Tribolium castaneum: one gene and its partner. The main gene of each other region encodes a partner of the protein of the gene in region 2 in a complex. Links are inferred from orthologs where the notes say so. Each region holds a gene or a part of one and is shown on either strand. Other genes may lie near its edges. The genes, in order: Lis-1 and BicD.

The links.
Region 1: BicD (region 2) and Lis-1 share a complex: the UniProt entries of both Caenorhabditis elegans proteins name them as parts of the dynein-regulating complex. The link is inferred for Tribolium castaneum from reciprocal best matches to the Caenorhabditis elegans genes bicd-1 and lis-1.

What each region holds. Positions count from the first base shown.
Region 1 is NC_087399.1:2,660,130-2,673,738, forward strand, and holds Lis-1 (lissencephaly-1 homolog), read left to right. Parts: upstream 1-220; 5' UTR 221-377; intron 378-869; 5' UTR 870-915; coding exon 916-953; intron 954-3,561; coding exon 3,562-4,488; intron 4,489-6,517; coding exon 6,518-6,714; intron 6,715-6,768; coding exon 6,769-6,842; 3' UTR 6,843-7,903; intron 7,904-7,951; 3' UTR 7,952-8,023; intron 8,024-8,158; 3' UTR 8,159-8,368; intron 8,369-8,411; 3' UTR 8,412-8,447; intron 8,448-8,494; 3' UTR 8,495-8,723; intron 8,724-8,771; 3' UTR 8,772-8,853; downstream 8,854-13,609. Other genes in the region: transmembrane protein 179, read left to right, coding at 9,292-9,401, 9,446-9,589, 9,637-9,798, 9,846-10,140; ankyrin repeat domain-containing protein 13D, read right to left, coding at 10,610-10,811, 10,912-11,000, 11,044-11,147, 11,258-11,425, 11,476-11,978, 12,026-12,203, 12,451-12,594, 12,642-12,812 and 2 more; Septin4 (septin-2), read right to left, coding at 13,557-13,609. UniProt on the Caenorhabditis elegans protein: Positively regulates the activity of the minus-end directed microtubule motor protein dynein. May enhance dynein-mediated microtubule sliding by targeting dynein to the microtubule plus end.
Region 2 is NC_087396.1:19,858,122-19,863,764, reverse strand, and holds the end of BicD (protein bicaudal D), read right to left. Parts: intron 5,344-5,643; coding exon 4,002-5,343; intron 2,466-4,001; coding exon 2,238-2,465; intron 2,189-2,237; coding exon 1,934-2,188; intron 1,888-1,933; coding exon 1,637-1,887; 3' UTR 501-1,636; downstream 1-500. UniProt on the Caenorhabditis elegans protein: Part of a complex with dlc-1 and egal-1, which is recruited to the nuclear envelope by unc-83, where in turn, it recruits dynein to the nuclear surface and regulates nuclear migration in hypodermal precursor cells.

The DNA of each region.
Region 1 (13,609 bases), on a different chromosome or scaffold from region 2:
TGCATAATAGTGAAAAAAAATATTAATTAAGCGTGCTATGTTTGTCATTACTTGTCACTAGCACTGTCACTGGGATTTTCATACTTTGAAAAACCGTAAAAAATCACAAATTGTGCTTTTTTAAAGTAATGAAAAGTAAAAAGTGTACTATTTGTGCGAATTTGTATTTTGTGTTGCTCGCCTAGCCTTTCCGCAGCCTTTCCCCCTAAACTTTCCCCAAATTCCCCATCCGTTGGCAATACTGCTCTTACTCACGCAGTTTTGTCATTTCGTATCGCCAGTGTTCGCGACCGTTACAAGTGTCCAGTGTCTCTGTTATCGCCTTTTAACCAAATCGCAGTGAAATAGTGTCTTGGATAATCACTTTATCACACCTTGTAAGTAAAATTTCCCCTTTATCACTTTCACAGCCGCCTATCCGGCGGAAATCCCAGACGAATTGACATTGGCCAAAGCAAAATGGCCGATATTGATTTTGTCTAAAAGGCCACAAAACGGGAAAATGCCATTTTCCGAGACAATTTTCCGCGGTAGCGGTCATTAAACCCGCCCCCCTTTGCCCAATCGGCGGCTGGACTGCCTGTCGCGCTTTTGGCGGGGCTCAAGGGGGCTGTCGCTGGTCCAAAGTACAGTCTGGGACGCAAGTAATGACGAGACTAGTAAACAAATGAACGTTACGTCATTCGAGCACGGCCAACTTTGCAAAACCGTTTCCTGTCATCGTTACGGTAACGTGATACTCGGTTTGGGGGCTTCGCCCTAATTCTAATCCGTTTAGAACGATTCTATCGATTAAACTTTGGGTTTGGTTAAAATGTTAAATTCTTGCGTGGGCAAATGTCAAAATCGTGTGTTTGTGATTGTTCCAGGTAATGCAATAGAAGATTTCTGAAAGTCGAGCCCCGGAACATTAACATGAAAATGGTTCTGTCTCAACGCCAGCGAGAGGAGCTGTAAGTAAAAAATTCATTCACTGATTCATTGTCACATTTTTTATCAGACCCGAGACACTTTATTGTGCACTTTGTTGCGTAGATAAAAACAAAAAAATATATTCGGGTTATCGGTCGATTTTCAATTAAATTATGTGTTGCTTGCGAACCTGTTTTTGCCGTTACCGGACATATCAAGGAGGCTTTGATCATGACAGCTGTCATTATTCATGGCCGACTGTTTAAAAGAATTCATCTTGCTAGCAGCTATGCAATACCGTTGCAAATTACGCGTTACGGTAAATTTTGCTGCACTTGGGACGAAAAAACCGAATTACGATACGTGTGTAGTATTTTCACTTTTAGAAAGTCCGAAAATTCGTCGAGTCGCACGCTGAATTATCAAACAAAAGAAAAACGGAATTTCAAATTTCTCTCGCAGGATGTAAGTAATTAAAGTGAAAAAAATATGTAGGGGAGGTCGGCTACAGTTAGGGATTAACCGTAAGAGAGTGTAGTGAACTTGAAAGTAATTTTCAGGTTATCTCGGTCAATCGCTTTCAGAACGCTCCAAGGAACGCAAAAATAATGCGAGGAGTGGTTTATTATCGGAAAATTTTTCGTATTATAATATTTAAGGGAGTTGTCCTTGCGAATCGTAGGCGGCGTTGCTGAAAATCAATACAGATCGGGACGTCACTGCGTAGTTACGGACGCTACCGTCTTTTTTTTTTTTTTTTCATTGCCAAGGTGACGTTTGTTTACGAGGGTGTTAAAATAGCCGCCGCCTCGGATATTTTTGATAATTGCAGCGTAATGAACTTGGGGGATTACATACTTGTCTGGCGGATGTCTTAAAATATCTCGAGAGGGGCAAAAAATTAATTAACGACGGGAACTGTTTTTGTTAATTAACTCTACGAGTTGTTTATTGTTCTAATTGACTAAAATTGGTTAAGGATTGAAAGTTAAAAGTGAAAGGTTGTTAGAACTGACAGATGATGATTTAATTATTAGTGCTAATTTTTTTGGAGGCGACAGTGGGTCACCGATAAAAATATAATTGGAAAACATTGTCATTGATAAAATACGTTGATACATATTTCGCTTTAAAATATCAATAAATAATCGTCGAGGTCAGTTCGCGTGACCACAGAGAGGATTTCACTTTTTAAACAGGTGTTGAATAATAAAAAAACTATTTGTTTGAATAGAGTAAAAAATAATTGATAATTTTGTAATTGACTTGGGAAACATTTTATTGCACAGTTTTGCAGTTTTACGTAAAAACGACTCAAGAACTTCCGAGTAAATCGAGGATAGTAAGTTCCTGTTACTTCCGGTAATTACAAATATGGGAAGAAAACTGAAGTTACAAGAACATTACACGATTCTAGGCCTCGTCTTGTTTATTTATTTACCAGTGAAGGTTTTGTTTTATTTGTTTTTCCATACATCTAAATATTTTATGTGGCTTGTAAACAGTTTTTGAATAATTAGATTTTTCTGTCCAGAAAAAAATTAATAAAATTAAAAAATCCTCTAATTCCCAAAAATTTCGAAATCCTTAATCCTTGAAAACTATCCGGGACTTGTCTACTATTGCTTTTCTTCAATAATTTCTTATTTTTAAATTTAAAAAAGAAAACATAAATTTTTATACTTTGTCTTCTTGTATATAATTGAAAATTTTGGGGATTTTCCAGAAAAATCGGGTCGTAGCTCCATAATTTTAATTGCAAATGTCTTATGTTCAAAAATTGTCTTTGGAATTTTTAAATTTTAACCGATATTTGGACAAATCTACATCCTTTAGATTTTTTAAATAAAGTTTTAAAAAATAGATAAAAAAATAGTCACAAATTTTGAGAACCACTGAACTGGTATAGAAAACCGCTGAAAAAAACTAGCTTGTATTTTTAATTAAAAAACGGCAGACGTAAATTAACTTTTTGGTTCACTCCACATGTCATTTTGTGTTTTCTTTATTAAATTTTATGAAAAAAACAAAAATGTGCCAAACCGGGATTCGAACCTCCTTCTCAGATAAATATGCTAACAACAAGTTTGAAACATTTTTCGTGTAATAATGTTTATTTAAAGGAAAACTTTTTTATAAAATAGTATGTATAGTATATAAAATTACAAAACCAACGAAAAATAAAAGTAAATTCTAAAATTAATTGATTTATTATTATTTTTTATTAATATCTGAACTTTGAATTTGTCTAATTTTTAAGCAAATAAAACTATTTTTTTGGGTGTATTTTTTTCAAAAATTCAAGTTTTTGGAATTTTTTGAAATTATCGGTTATTAAAATAATTTCTGTATGTTATAGTTTTTTGTCTTAATTTGTAGAAATCGATTTATTAATTTTTTTTTATTAATTTGTCGCAAAATCAGGTCTCGGAATTTGCTGAGTTTGCTTTTGTTTCTTTAATGACTCTCTTTATTGATTTTAAGCAAAACCTTGAATTCGTTTGTTATTTTTACGTCGTTTGACCGTGAGCTATTGATTCATGTAAATTTTCTTTTATTAATAAAATACTCGTCTCGTCCATATAATAAGACCCCCTTACATCACCCACATTTGTGTTTATTTTATTACATCACTTGTGATTTTTGCAGTAACAAAGCCATCGCTGATTACCTCAGTAGCAACGGTTACATGAACGCACTAGAAGCGTTCAAAAAAGAAACGGACATGCCCGGCGAACTCGAGCGCAAATTCGGCGGTCTTCTCGAAAAAAAATGGACATCTGTGATACGTCTCCAGAAGAAAGTGATGGAACTCGAATCGAAACTCCACGAAGCCGAAAAGGAATACATCGAGGGGGCACCAACTCGCGGCAAACGCAGTCCAGCCGAATGGATCCCCAGACCCCCTGAGAAATACGCCCTGACGGGGCACCGAGCCCCCGTCACACGTGTCATATTCCATCCGTTGTTTAGTCTCTTTGTATCGACAAGTGAAGATGCTACGATTAAAGTCTGGGATTTTGAGACAGGGGAATACGAGAGGACCCTCAAAGGCCACTCGGATGCCGTTCAAGACGTCGCTTTCGACGCCACAGGAAAACTGCTAGTTTCCTGTAGCGCCGATATGTCGATTAAATTATGGGATTTCCAACAGAGTTACGAATGCATCCGAACGATGCTCGGGCATGATCACAATATATCATCGGTGGCGTTCATGCCAGCGGGGGATTTTGTCGTTTCGTCAAGTCGCGATAAAACCATCAAAATGTGGGAGGTTTCGACCGGTTATTGTGTCAAAACCTTTACAGGACACAAGGATTGGGTCAGAGTTGTGCGGCCATCGCCCGATGGTCAACTCTTGGCCAGTTGTTCCAACGATCAGACCATCAGAATATGGCAGGTTTATACGAAGGAATGTCGAGCTGAGTTGAGAGCACACGAACACGTTGTCGAATTCGTAGCATGGGCACCTGATTCGGCTGCGAATGCCATCAATGAAGCGGCAGGAGTCGATAATAAGAAGGGGGCACATATGGGACCGTTTCTGGCGTCGTGTTCCAGGGATAAGACGATCAGGTGAGAGGGGGCCGCGTTTTACGCCTAAACTAGACGGCCGAAAATTTTGATAAAATCACAGCTAAGACAAAAGGGCGTGGGGCACGTCGTGGCCAAATTTGAACAAAATCGAACGAGCGGTTTCCGAGATATTGACACTTGTAGCTGGGAGGGGGGGTCAGCTGTAACACCAAAACTGGGCGTTCAAAAAATTTGGAAAAATCACAGTAGGGGCAAGGAGGGCTGAGCTACGCTTGGTGCAAATTTGGAGGAAATCAAATCATCGGTTTGCGAAATACTGGGGGTTGAATTTGAGGAGATTGGTCACGTGTAACATTGAAACTCTACGTTCAAAAAATTTGGAAAAATTACAGTAGAGGGCAAAGGGGCTGAGCTATATCTAGTACAAATTTGGACGAAATCGAACGATCGGTTTGCGAAATATCGGGGGTTGAGCCTGGGAGGGGGGCCGCTTGTAACACCGAGACTGGGCGTTCAAAACATTTGGAAAAATCACAGTAGGGGCAAAGGGGGCTGAGCTACGCTTGGTGCAAATTTGGAGGAAATCAAATCATCGGTTTGCGAAATACTGGGGGTTGAATTTGAGGAGATTGGTCACGTGTAACATTGAAACTCTACGTTCAAAAAATTTGGAAAAATTACAGTAGGGGGCAAAGGGGCTGAGCTACGCTTGGTGCAAATTTGGAGGAAATCAAATCATCGGTTTGCGAAATACTGGGGGTTGAATTTGAGGAGATTGGTCACGTGTAACATTGAAACTGTACGTTCAAAAAATTTGGAAAAATTACAGTAGGGGGCAAAGGGGCTGAGCTATATCTAGTACAAATTTGGACGAAATCGAACGATCGGTTTGCGAAATATCGGGGGTTGAGCCTGGGAAGGGGGCCGCTTGTAACACCGAGACTGGGCGTTCAAAACATTTGGAAAAATCACAGTAGGGGCAAAGGGGGCTGAGCTACGCTTGGTGCAAATTTGGACGAAATCAAACCACCGGTTTGCGAAATACTGGGGGTTGAATTTGAGGAGATTGGTCACGTGTAACATTGAAACTCTACGTTCAAAAAATTTGGAAAAATTACAGTAGAGGGCAAAGGGGCTGAGCTATATCTAGTACAAATTTGGACGAAATCGAACGATCGGTTTGCGAAATATCGGGGGTTGAGCCTGGGAGGGGGGCCGCTTGTAACACCGAGACTGGGCGTTCAAAACATTTGGAAAAATCACAGTAGGGGCAAAGGGGGCTGAGCTACGCTTGGTGCAAATTTGGCGGAAATCAAATCATCGGTTTGCGAAATACTGGGGGTTGAATTTGAGGAGATTGGTCACGTGTAACATTGAAACTCTACGTTCAAAAAATTTGGAAAAATTACAGTAGGGGGCAAGGGGGCTGAGCTACGCTTGGTGCAAATTTGGAGGAAATCAAATCATCGGTTTGCGAAATACTGGGGGTTGAATTTGAGGAGATTGGTCACGTGTAACATTGAAACTGTACGTTCAAAAAATTTGGAAAAATTACAGTAGGGGGCAAAGGGGCTGAGCTATATCTAGTACAAATTTGGACGAAATCGAACGATCGGTTTGCGAAATATCGGGGGTTGAGCCTGGGAAGGGGGCCGCTTGTAACACCGAGACTGGGCGTTCAAAACATTTGGAAAAATCACAGTAGGGGCAAAGGGGGCTGAGCTACGCTTGGTGCAAATTTGGACGAAATCAAACCACCGGTTTGCGAAATATTGGGGGTTGAATTTGAGTAGATTGGTCACGTGTAACATTGAAGCTCTACGTTCAAAAAATTCGGAAAAATTACAGTAGGGGGCAAAGGGGCTGAGCTATATCTAGTGCAAATTTGGACGAAATCGAACGATCGGTTTGCGAAATATCGGGGGTTGAGGCTGGGAGGGGGGCCGCTTGTAACACTGAGACTGGGCGTTCAAAAAATTTGGAAAAATCACAGTGGGGAGTAGGGGGGTTGAGCTACGCTGTGTGTAAGTTAGGGCGGAATTGTATGTTGGGGAACTTTGTTTTGTAGGATATGGGATGTGGGCGCCGGCGTGGCTCTCTTCGTGCTGATTGGCCACGACAATTGGGTGCGAGGGGCAGTTTTCCATCCGGGTGGTAAATTTTTAGTGTCGGTTAGTGACGACAAAACGTTGAGAGTTTGGGATTTGCGAAATAAGCGCTGTTTAAAGACGTTAGATGCTCACAAACACTTTTGTACGTCTGTAGGTAAGTTGGTTGAGGTTTTGTTGCAGGGTTTGTTCTGATTGGTGGTCGTTTCAGATTTCCACAAATCACATCCTTATGTGATTTCGGGGAGTGTAGATCTAACGGTGAAAGTGTGGGAATGCCGTTAAGTTATAGTAAAACTTTTTTTTCACGGTTGCAGTGTAATTTAATTATTTAAGCCAAAACATTTATTCCTTTACGAAAGGTTTTATTTAGTGCAAATTCAGTTATTAAACTATTTTTTTGTGATTTGTTTTGTTTCATTAAAATTGGATTTGAGGTCTGGAATTTTTTTTCTTTTAAGTGTGAGTGACTTGTAGTTTCCGTTTAGAACAAAGTTTATTTTTGTTATATTACGATCGGTTTTTTTGTGATATATTTTTATTAGAAACTGCAAGTTAGTTATTCTTAATAAATGCTTCAGATATTTAATAAACAGGCAGTGGATATTGATGAAGTTATTATTGACACGTCTCGGTATTTTCTTGTTGTTTATTATTTTCGTTTGTTTCAAATGTATCGTGATGTGTTGGAAATGAATTCATGAAAAATTGTAGAGCTTTTTCAGTTCAGTTATTAGACACTATTTATAGGGGAAGAAATTAATATCATGTTGGTATTAATTTTTTGACATTTTAATGACAGTCGCAACTAGGTAACTATAATCCCTCTCAATGTAGATCTTGAAAATGTATATTGCACAAGTCCCGCTTAATCAGTGAAAATTATGTATTTTTTTTAATACTCATTTCATGTTTAACAAATTGATTTCCAGTAATTGTTTTAATAAAAACATCCCAAAATCGCTTGCTTACGATGTATAGTGGCACAATGTTCGTATATAGCCTTACATTGTTTTTTCGAGTAGGATATGTGAATATTTTCTTCTGTATATAAAAATAAAATTGTCTCCTTACAAGTTGTTTTATTGCCATCCCAGTCAAGACAAAAAGATTTGAATTTGGCGCTAAGGCGTAAATGGCATGTGTTGACACTTGCGCACGCGCTACTGGTTTTCAACAGCTGATTGTAAGCAAAAATTGTTTATTTTGCAAAATTACAATTTCTGAAGTTTTTGAAATATTGTGCGACCAACTGTTTACTGCATGATGCACATCGAGGACGAATTGATGGAAGAATCAGTTGATTTAATCAAAGAAGAACTAAAAACGGAACAAGAGCCGTACAAGTAAAAAACACCCTTTATTTAGTTATTTATAAAAAAAAATTGTTACAGCAAACTTTCATTAAATCCGTTAAAAATTAGCTCTATGAAGATGAAAATACGTGAAAAATTAGTCGTGCCGTGGTAATTATAACCATTTCATTTTATTTATTGATTGTTACGAAAGTTTGGTTAGTCTTTTTGACAGTATCGGGTCACGTGACCCATTTTTGACCAATCATGTGTCGTTTTAATGGCGCCAAATTTACAATATTTTAGTGAGCCCAAACCTTTAAGTCCCGTTAAGAAAATTAAAATGTTGAGGAAAAAACCAAAACCGATAAATTTCACAATTAGGAATGAAACGGAAACCAAAAGTGAAAATTTAGTCCAGCCCAAAGTGCAAACAATTAGTCAGACGTTAACTAATAACGGAAAATGTGTTTCCACTGGTGAAAATTTGACTGAAATCACAAGAAACACGAAAAAGTAGGTGTCTTCTGTGTTTTTCTTTCCTGATAATTTGTTTTAGTGAGCCAAAGACTGTTAGCCGTGCCCGCAATTTTAGGTATTTCTCTCCTGAAAAAAAATCCGGTTGTGATTAATGGTTTTCAGGCCGCGGAATGCAGCAATTCAGTTTAAGGAACAGCACCTGAAAAACCCCAGTGCCGCGAGACAAATGTGGCGAGTCGCCACTGCAGTGATAGAACAACAAAAAAAAGTTATAGCAAATTTGGAAAGTAAAAACGAGAGGCTTTGCAAGAGAAATAAACTGCTAGAAGCCGCGCTTGACGACATACAGAACTCGGCAAACACGCCCGGAAATTGCTACATTTTGCTCAAAGTAATTTTTTTAATTTATTCAATTTTTTGCTAATTTGTGCGATTCCAGAAACCGGGCGAATATTTCATCAAATGGGGTTAGATTGGATTCGTTGGAAAAGTTTTGTGGTTAATAAAGCAATTAAAACCTTTTTTGTGTTTTATTCAACCTATGATTCAAAATGACAAGCTCAGAAACAACTAAAATTTGGCTTCTTGGGTATTCCAAAGTCACAGAAAACAATTTTATCGCTAGAAACTGTGTGTGTTGTAATTAAAAGTGATTTAATAAATAATTTTACAATAAAATGCAGTTTGAATTTCGTCCTGTTAAGTTCAGCCAACCTGACCATTCAAAACCAGTCACGAATTTAAATGTTAGACGCACTAAACGAACGAATTATTTATTCACCTGTTACGAATTTATTCATTACCTGACGAGACATGCGGCTACTTAACGCCCCTTTTATTTTCTCTTTACAACAGTTTGAGTGTTGATTGATGAGGTTGGCGCCTCTGGTTGTCAGTCACCAAAATAACAAACGTCAAATTTTAATGTTTTTTAAGGCGTAAAAGCGCAACAAAAAGTGATGGCTTTAAGTAATATCGTATTGCTTAGCCAAATCGCCGGTTATGTGATAGCTTTTATCTTATCGTTATGCATAGTTGTTCCTATGAGTTTGCACCAGGATGAATTCAGGTTAGTGGCTCCTTTGTTGCCAAAACTACAATATCTCGTTCCAGGGGTCATTGCTTGTTGTTTTCGACCGGCGTGTGGCAGGAGGCCGACGGCCAGTTGAAAGTCGACTGGGCTTCGCAGTGCTACTGCAACTACACGATTTTTGTAGGCGTGTTGTTATGTTTAGTCTCAATCGTGCAAATCTATCGGTAGGCGAAGCCCCAAGTCTTCAACCAGCTCACTAATATCTTTCCAGCTTGTCGCTGTTCTTGTACAAAGGCACCGATAGCAGTTTTTTGTCCGCGTTCTTTGACGTCCTCACAGGCATTATTTTGTGCGGCATGACCATAATCGCAGCTTTGATGATTACTTTGGGGTTCATGGTGTGGTGCCAGAACATGACCCAACGATTCCCCTCGTAAGCCGAACACATCGTGCTTAGGAGCCACTAATCGCTCGTTTCAGGTGCGAATTAGCAGCTGGTCAAGCGATTGATAAACAGGACGGTATTAACACCACCAATTTTTACATCGAGTTGGGGACTGCACAGTTTGGCGTTTGGGGCTCCTTTGCCACGTGGGTGGGGCTGTCCGTGTTCGCACTTTTGAAGCTGTGCCGCTACCACCAGTTGGAAAATATCAGAGTGTCAATGTACAGAGAACGGCAGAGACTGATCAACGAAAACTCAGAGTCGCCTGGAAGCTCGCTAGGTCGTGAGTCCACACACAGTCAAGACACCACGGCCACAGCCGCCGAGTGATTAGTTTCCGGCGTCTTGAGGTGTCCTTATTTTATAATTTACGCAATAATTCACATCTCACTTCTCATACATAACACTGTGTACCAAATAGTCGGTTTTAATTGAGTATATTGTGATAATATAATAGAGATTAGCGGCTTTTTCAAGTTGATTTTATAAGAATAAATCATTTTATTGGAAGAAACATTTTATTAAAGATTATGTACATATCGTTAACAAACAAAATTGATTTACTGTGTCACTTAAGCACCTGTTACATGGTACGTTATAAATAAAACTCTGAACATCATAATAAATAATAGGAACGATCAAATAACCGAAACTGTGATTAAGTATAACCCGGAGCATTGATTTGGAATATAAAGTTACAATGATTAAGTCAAAAGAACGAGCTTTGTTATCATCCCAAAGCTATTGCTACGAATGAGGTATGAAAAAATTTCGTTAAAAATGTATATTTTGGCCCTAATTATTTCTCCGTCAGAGACAATTGTAGTATTTCCTCAAGGATTTTTTCCTCTTGCAATCTTTGCTCTTCCTGCTTTCGGCGTTCCTGCTCTGACAGCATGAGAGCCATGTGCAGGTCCGAATCTATGTCAGGATCAGCGGCCGCGTTAGTCTCACTGCTATCTGTACTCTTTTGATAAAGCTCTAAACTGGCCTGAATAGCTCTACAACAAAGTGTCTTACTTGCAGCTAGTTAAGCAAAAAGCGGAGATAATTGATTAAACCACTAAACAATTTTTTGACAATTTTGTTATTAATAAGTACCTTTGCAACTGCCTTTCCTCCTCACCTACGAGGTTTGGAGTCGCAGGTCGCGACGGTTTCTGGGCTTTCAAGGCCTCCCAAATGTCCACCTGTAACTGAGTTAACAAAACGACAAACAATTCGTAAAATCACCTCTTCCTTTTCCGTCCCGGCATCAATTAAACTCTGCTGAATTGCAAATTGTAACAAATCGTCTTCCTCTTCCATACTGAACTGTCTGCGGCCGTCGGACGCAGCTGGAATTTTTCCGAAATTAGTGTCGAATCATTTAAAATTGAAATGATGATATGAAGCGAGTAAAATCAAACGAAATAAAAAAAAAACAAAATAATGACCCGTGCATTACCATTACCAATCTGAGAATATCCTGAGGGACATTGGAAAATACACTCGTCTAAAACACACGTTAATCTGTCCTCTTCCTGTATCCGGTGGACGTGCGCCACTTCCGCGTCTATACCGAAAATGTTGCCGAATGTTATCCTCGCGTTTAGCACGTGAAAGAGGGGGATTTCTGCAACGAAAAGCAAAAAAATCAGATTTTTTTAACAAAAGTAATCTTACCGATTTTGACGGGGAAACCCGACGGCAGCTGCATCTGTATAAAGTCCTTCAATTTGGCGAAATGCGAGCTAGAAATGGCCATTAGATCGACAATTGGAAGAATCTGTTCGGGCAGCGATAGGGGGTATTGCTCACACAGCCATAAATTCGCTTTGAATTTCTGCACTTTAACGCTAATTTCTTTAGGTCGGCCAATGTCTCGATTTTGTAAATTCACCGCCGAGTCGAAATACTCCTCGGGTGTTATATTACACGGATTACTGGACTTTGTGTATTCGTTTTGAAGGGCTGCGGCTGCTTGATTCTCTTCAACTTCCGCAATGCCTAGAAAATTCTGTAGTGGTGTTTTATTATTTCTACTTCGGGCTTTATCGCTTTCGGTTAAATGTTCGGTTCGTGTTTTCGTCACCAGTTCCACGTTCGACGCACTGAAGACTTTACACTCGTGCCCGTTCACCGCTTCACTTTTATCAGATCTCCAGCCCCACATGCCCGCTTTATTCCTGCATCGTACAATTATTAAAGAAATTAAATAGAGATTTTAAGTTGCCTCTCGAAACTGATCTTGTCCGTGTCCACGTATGTCGTGACTATGGGGGTTGTCAGTCTTTGAGAGACCGATTCTTCGGTTGGGATTAAAACGCCAAGAGCCTCGTCAGGCGCCTTCATCTCCTCACAATAGACCTGTTGGATGTCATGGTCGATTTCCATCATTGTTGCCCCATCACCTAATTATTACAATTATCATCAAAGCGAGCTGCATACACTATTTTTTCTACGATCCAGCGGTCATTATAATTTTTTTTTCTGACTAGTTACAAACTTGTATATAATCAACAACTGCTACCTCAAGCTTGCTACGAGTTACCCGTTCCGTTCAGCTTATAAACATAGCTCCGTTGGCCCCGTATTGGCGAGCACATTTGTAAGACTGTCCAATTTAGTTAACGCAGACCGAACTAATTAATTACTCACTGTGGCCTTGGAACACGTAGCTTCTGTTGCCCCTCTGCCAGCTCGTGTGGTCAAAGCCTAGCAAAGTGGTGTCTATCCGGACATTAGAGCCTTGTTTGAAGACTTTGTAAGTGTCGCTGGGGCACATTCGTGAGACCAGAGGCACTGGAAAAATTCCACTCTAAACGTGTTAGTGTTTTTGGGTTTGTTACCCCAACTAGTGAACTCCCACTTCATTTCCACGTAAAAATCTGGCGCTTCTTTGAGTTTCTGGAGCAGTTCTGGAATGCCAGCCATGCGGTTCGAATATCGTTGAAAATCGCGCCGTTCTAAAACCATATGTAACAGTTCCGGGTCACCCGTGGCCACTGCCTCTTGTACAACTGCAAAAAAACCGTGTCGGAAATTCGGGAAGGCTTATCTTAATCCGATTACCAGTCCAGCCATCTGCATTTTCACAGTTTACGTTGGCTTCGTTATTCAATAACGAACGAGCTGACTCTAAATGGCCCAAGGTGACGGCTAGCATTAGCGGGGTTCGCCCTCGATTGTCCAACTTTTCTTTATCGTCCTGCAGTGGCATTCAAGTCTAGCTAACGCACCAAATAAAGCAATTCGTTACCTCTTTCTTTTTCAGTAAAATATCCAACTGTTTATAGTCGTTCTGCCACACCAACCAGTGTAAAGGGTATTCTTTTTGGATGAAGTCGATTTCGACCATTTTTTCAAGTGTTTTAGCACCGAGTACGTTTTATATTGACGGAAACATGGTCACACTTTGCTGTTTACAAGCGATGACGACGAAATTAACACTTTAATTTTTGAAATGACAGATGTGCTATCTACCAGACGCCATATTTGATTGATGAGTCAGAAACGTCAAAATACGCTAAAGGAGCATTCACACGGACAGCCGTGCCGGGTTCACACGGCTAGTCCAGGCTTCACCTTTTCAAAATAAAATGTTACCAATGAAACACGTCTCGTTCTAATAAATATTTATTCAAATAACATATAAAATAACATAAATCCAATATAAATATGGAAAAACGTGAAATTAAATTAAGTCTTTGGTAGGTAAAACATCAACTATAGCGCGTCTAATTGATTGAAGTTAATACTGCTGCTTAAGCGTTGCCTTTGAGTTTCTCTTGCATCTGGTTCAGCATTTCTTGCATTC
Region 2 (5,643 bases):
TTGTGTTCTCAGTTTTGTTTTTATACTTTCTAATAAAATCTTCATTACTACCACTTCCAGTTTTATTATTGTGGAACTATTGCTGTTTATGAAGTGTGTGTATCAATAGATAAATAGCAAACTTATGTAATGTATATTGTAAATATGTTAGTCATTTTGCACAATAGTTTGTACATCTATTATGTAAATACGCAGAATGACAAATTTGCGAAAGACACTTCAATCGTAAAGTAGCTCTTCCAACTTCACAGTAAATTATTACTCTCTGTTTCTCTACTAGGAGGTATCATATCATTTCACGTGACTTATTTATATTTACTCATGTCTGTTTCATGTTTACATTTTCTTTTGTATGCTGTTTAATAAAAAATATTAAAATTCACGCAAACGTACTGTAATAAGAGGAACTATATTTTTTGTGATTTCTTTGAAAATATAGAATAAATATATCTTTTCTACGCATGTTTTTTTGTACATTCCCATGGGTGCAATAACGGTCCTTGTGATAAAGTAATAATTATATTAAAAATATTAGGTACAATTAAGTAACATTAACCACATATAAGCAATGTTAAAATAATTTATAACAATAAATATCAAAAAGAATATAACAGGTTAGCTGTCTGACGAACGAAACAAACAGAAGATCTAAGTTTCTGTTGGTACGTGTACCAAGTAACAAAAATATAAGTGTTAGAGCATGCACATTTCATTCTCAACATTAAGGATTTTTATATTATTGTAAGGGACGGGCATTTCCGTGGTCCATAGGCTCGGAAACAGGACAAATAATCAACAAACGTCATTTCATGATTATCATATGGACTCAGAACCAACGGAAAAGACGAATTGTGATATCATATTTACTATTAGAATGACGGCAATTCGCCGTCACTTCACAATATTATTCTTAGCCTACGTCTTAACAAGTTTTAACTATTTTTTATAAACCGTAACAATTAGATTTTAGTACCACAGTTAGAAAATAAATGTACGCAGTTTTTAATTTTTCTCGAGACGAAATGCCCTCGAGCGTAGCGCCACCGTGACCAGTCTCGAAGACTAGCGGTTTATCGAATATTATTTTAGTTCACACCACCAAAGAATGACTAACTAACGTATATTGCATGAATCCCTTGTAGGACTAAGTAGACTAAATAAATATGTTAATAACTAAAACATGGTTAAAGTCTATACATCACACGAAATATGGGTCACATCTACCAATAAATATATCATTTCATAATTAAATCCAAGTATAGGCTACTCTACCGTCATAATATTCCACTATTAATCAAGAGATATACCTTAGAAATGCTACTTGAACGTAATCTATAACTAAATCTGAATTACGAAACTTTTGGCAGCTAATTGGCCACTTTACTAAACCGAAAATTAGTACTAGCCAATACAAGTAGAATAAATTAGTCTGAGTATGCATAAAAAGTCGCCAAACCAAACACATAAATGCACAGTTTACCTCACATTTCGTTAAATAAACAATAAAATACTTGAATTTTTGTGAATTGTCACAATTCGTTACGTTATAGCCGATTAAAGTGTAGTGTTAGAAATTTCAAAGTTTAAAGAATGTGGTGATAAATGCAATCGCGTAAACCACAGGTTTCGACCTGCGCTAGAACATGTCTCTGTTCGACCGTCCAGGGCGCTGAAAATTGCGGTTGTTTGGCTTACGTGCGTTTCTGATTTCTCTGTCCACCTCCAGCTCTTCGAGCCGCTGAGTCAGACCCAGCTTTTGCTGAACGGCTAATCTCAACAGCTGGTTCAAAGTCTTCTTCTCTTCTTCGGCTGCGCTCAACTGCTGCTGGAGCTCGTCGACTTGCGTCACGTACTCTTCGCAACGGGCGGCAAACATCGCACGCAAACCTTTAATAATTTTCGTAAAATTTAAACTGAACCAAATCCACCTTACTTGAAAATGTGGCTGCGTCCTCCTTCAACATTCGCAACTCGTTTCGGAGCTTCATCATCGTCTCGGATACAATTGTTTTCTCGTTTTCGTACTTGGCTTTGAGGTTCGTCAGTGCCACTTCGGCAGTATTTTTGTTTGATTTTAGGACGGTTCGTAACGTGGCAATCTGTTCGCGTTTGGTCGACAGCAAACTCTTCAATCTTATGACTTGCTCTTGTAATTCGGCGATTTCTTCGCTGTTTTCATCTTTGCTTGCTAATAAAAAGTGTTACAAAATGACTGACTGTTTTTTTACCTAACTCACATTCATATAATCCATTCGATTTTTCCCTCTTTGTTTTCGATAATTCGATGGTATTTTCAATGGCGTTTCGGAGATGTTTGATTTGGTCCACGATGGTGCAAACATTTCGAGCGACAACAGCCGCGTCATTTAAGACTTCAAGATCGTGCAAGGGAATGTCGCTCTTGAGGCGGCTTCGCAACAATTCGATTTTGGACATTTCGCCAATTGGTGGCGCAGTTTCCGACACTGAAAATCAGAAATTTAAACCGTGACCTGGCCTCGACATTTTAATTACATAAAAAGGCCGAATTTAAATAAAAATGAGACAAAAAATTGAAGTCCGATAAAACATTAAATTCGTGAATGAAAGCATCTGCTTACGTGATCAGTTAATCAGCAATTTAATTGCGGATTAAATTAATTCTTCTATAAGCCAATCCTTAATACAATAAATAAATAATGATTATTATTACAAAAATTCAACCAGATAAATATTTTAAAAACTACAAATTAGCAATTATTATTATTATTGGCTCTGAACTTTATTTTTCATAACAAAAAACGTGTAAAGAACACATATCTCATCTTTGACGCTTTTGATTTAAATTGCTTCTCCCCGATAACGAATCATCTTATGGTGGCCAAGACTTTTTTTAAAAAAGATTTTATTATTTTTATTTTCTAGTAATTGTATTTTTAACTCTACTAGTTTATCATTTTTTTCTCATGTTTTCCATGGAAAATTTTAGTCGTTAGCTTTCTTTTTTTCCAAATAAATAGTGAACCGGCTGAATTAAATAACTGGTTGGATGAAATTACGCAGAGATAACTAAATGTATTCTATTTCGAACAAATTTTTCGAATTTGTGATTAAACATAATACGTAATCATAACGATAAAAGAATTATTTTTTATTTATTTCAATTAAACATAAATGTAACGAACTAAAGTGTAAAACGACTTTATAAAAGATAATTTTTTTAACATTATACTCGTAGAGAAGCTTAATAAGTGTAAAGGACAAAATTATAGAAAATTAAAATGCCTACAAACGGCTTATTTTAGCCGATTTATTGCTTAGAAGTAAGCAAACTTACACAAAACAGATTGAAAACGACATATTTTGACTTAAAATAGAAAGTTAAGTAATAGTTTGGATGAAAATGGTTTATTTCAAACGATTCTTTACTTAGAACGGAGAAAACTTCATAAAACACACTGAAAACGCCATATTCTAACTCAAAAGAACAAATTATGTTTTAATTTAGATGAAAACGGCTTATTTCGAAAGATTCTTTGCTTAGAAATGAGTCAACAGACTGAAAACGCCATATTCTGGCTCAAAAGAACGAGTTATGCTATAGTTTGGATGAAAACGCCATATAAGAGTTTATTGTATCGGAATTTTAGTCATCAGTTTTTTTCAGCTTATTATGAATTTGATTCTCCACAGCCTTCCCTTTTTTTTCAAGCAATTGATGAAAATAATAGTTGAATTTTAATTAATTTAAAACTGCTTGAAGTCTCGTTTCTCGTGTCTAATTTTTCGTAAGAAAAACGCACTTTTTGCAAGAATTATTATTACTGGTATACATAGAAAAAAAAACTCAACTTAATTTTCGGTCAAAGTTATCTCTCATAATTTAATTTTAAATAACAAGAGGTCAGGATTTAAGGGATTCAATTACTTTAAAACAATTTGGTGCCGAAACGAAATATTTTTGAGTACGAAAATTTTTAATACCGTTTCGCCTCTTAGTTTTATACAACTAAGCCACTTACTAGGCGTCATTCCTTCCTTCTCGTGATCCAAAACCACTCTCGTGGGCGTCTCCCCGTTAACAGTACACACATGATGGTACAACTGAGCAAGCTCATCAGTAACAGTTTGTAAATTATTCTGAGTTTCATCCAATGAAGTTCCAGCTTCACTAGCAAACTCTCTCAACAATTTCAAATCGGCCTCCAAGTCCATACTCCTCTGCTCCGTATCCGACAACTTATTTTTCAAATTCGTGATTTCGGTGCGCAGCTGTAGGGTAGCGTCTGAGATATTCGTCAACTTCTCCAATTCACGAATATCCTGCTTCAGCTGTTCGATCTCTTTACAGGACATTTTGAACCACTGCTGGTACTGATTTAGAATTTTACCAGCCTCTTGTGCCGGTTGGGATACATTTTTGTCAACATTCTGCGACAAATGCTGCAAAGAATCGACATGAGCCGCCAGTTGTGTCAGTCTTGCAATGAAAACTTGTAGTTCGCCTTGACTCTTCTCCACCATTGCCTGGTTATCGCGCAAATTTTGTGTCAGAGTTAGTTTTTCCTTCTCCAGTTGTTCCAACTGCTTTTCCAACTTTCTCAGTTCGTTCAAGTGGACTTCGGAGAACAAATCGACCTGTTTATCGTCAGGCGAAGCCAATTCTGAGGCACTTCCACTCCCCAAAGTCGCCTCCAGCCGCTTCAAGCCGGGAATATCGTCCTCACCGTCACTCCCCAAAGTCGGCTCATCGCTCATTCCCCGAATACTGTACGCCAGATTATTGATATTGTAGAACGTGTCTCGGTTAATATGTTGGTCCAGTTCCTTCTTCAGCGCGTATTTGGCCTCACGTTCGGCTTGCAGCGACTCCAAGGCCTCCTCCATGTGTTTCTCGGCGATTTTCTTCAAGTTTGTCAGCTCTTCCACCTGGAGGTTCAACAGTTCCATTTCTTCGTGCAGTCGCCGGATCTCGTGTTTTAGACTTTCAAACTCCACTTGCGAGCTTTTTAAAGCTGAGACTTGTTTTTGTAAGGCTATGTTCTCTTCTTCTAGCTCGGCGTAGTCGTTGATCAAACGATTTTCTCGAAATTTGATTTCGCGGAGTTCCGTTCGTAATTTCTTGCACTCCATGCTTCGATCTTCCTTGTCTTTGCCCATATCGGTGTTCTCCTGCAGCATGCGGTCTCGCTCGGTGGTGACGCGGTCCAACTCATGACGCAGCTGCTTTATTTCGTTTTCCAATTCGATTATTTGGGAATTGAGCGATGTTTCGCGCGCGGCGGATTCAGATAGCAGGGATTCTTCCGTTTCTATTCCAGTTTTAGTTGTTACTTTATGACTAGATTGGAACTTTGCCAAGGCCTATAAAACAAAAAGATAATAAATAAGTAACGCTTTCAATAATTTTAAAAGGAGCTTTCATCATGGGCTAATTTTAATCAGCTGAAGATAAGAATACAACGGTCGAAATATGAAAGCAATTTATGCAAAAATGTAGAAGTGTTTGCGAGACTGCTAACGCACGCTCCTACATAACAATTCAGTCACAGTAACTGAACCAAAACCAATTATAAAGTATGAATAAATAATAATAATGAGAACATCAACTGTGATACCACTCTAATTCCAATTTTTCACGGCTTAAAGGGTTAATGCGAATAA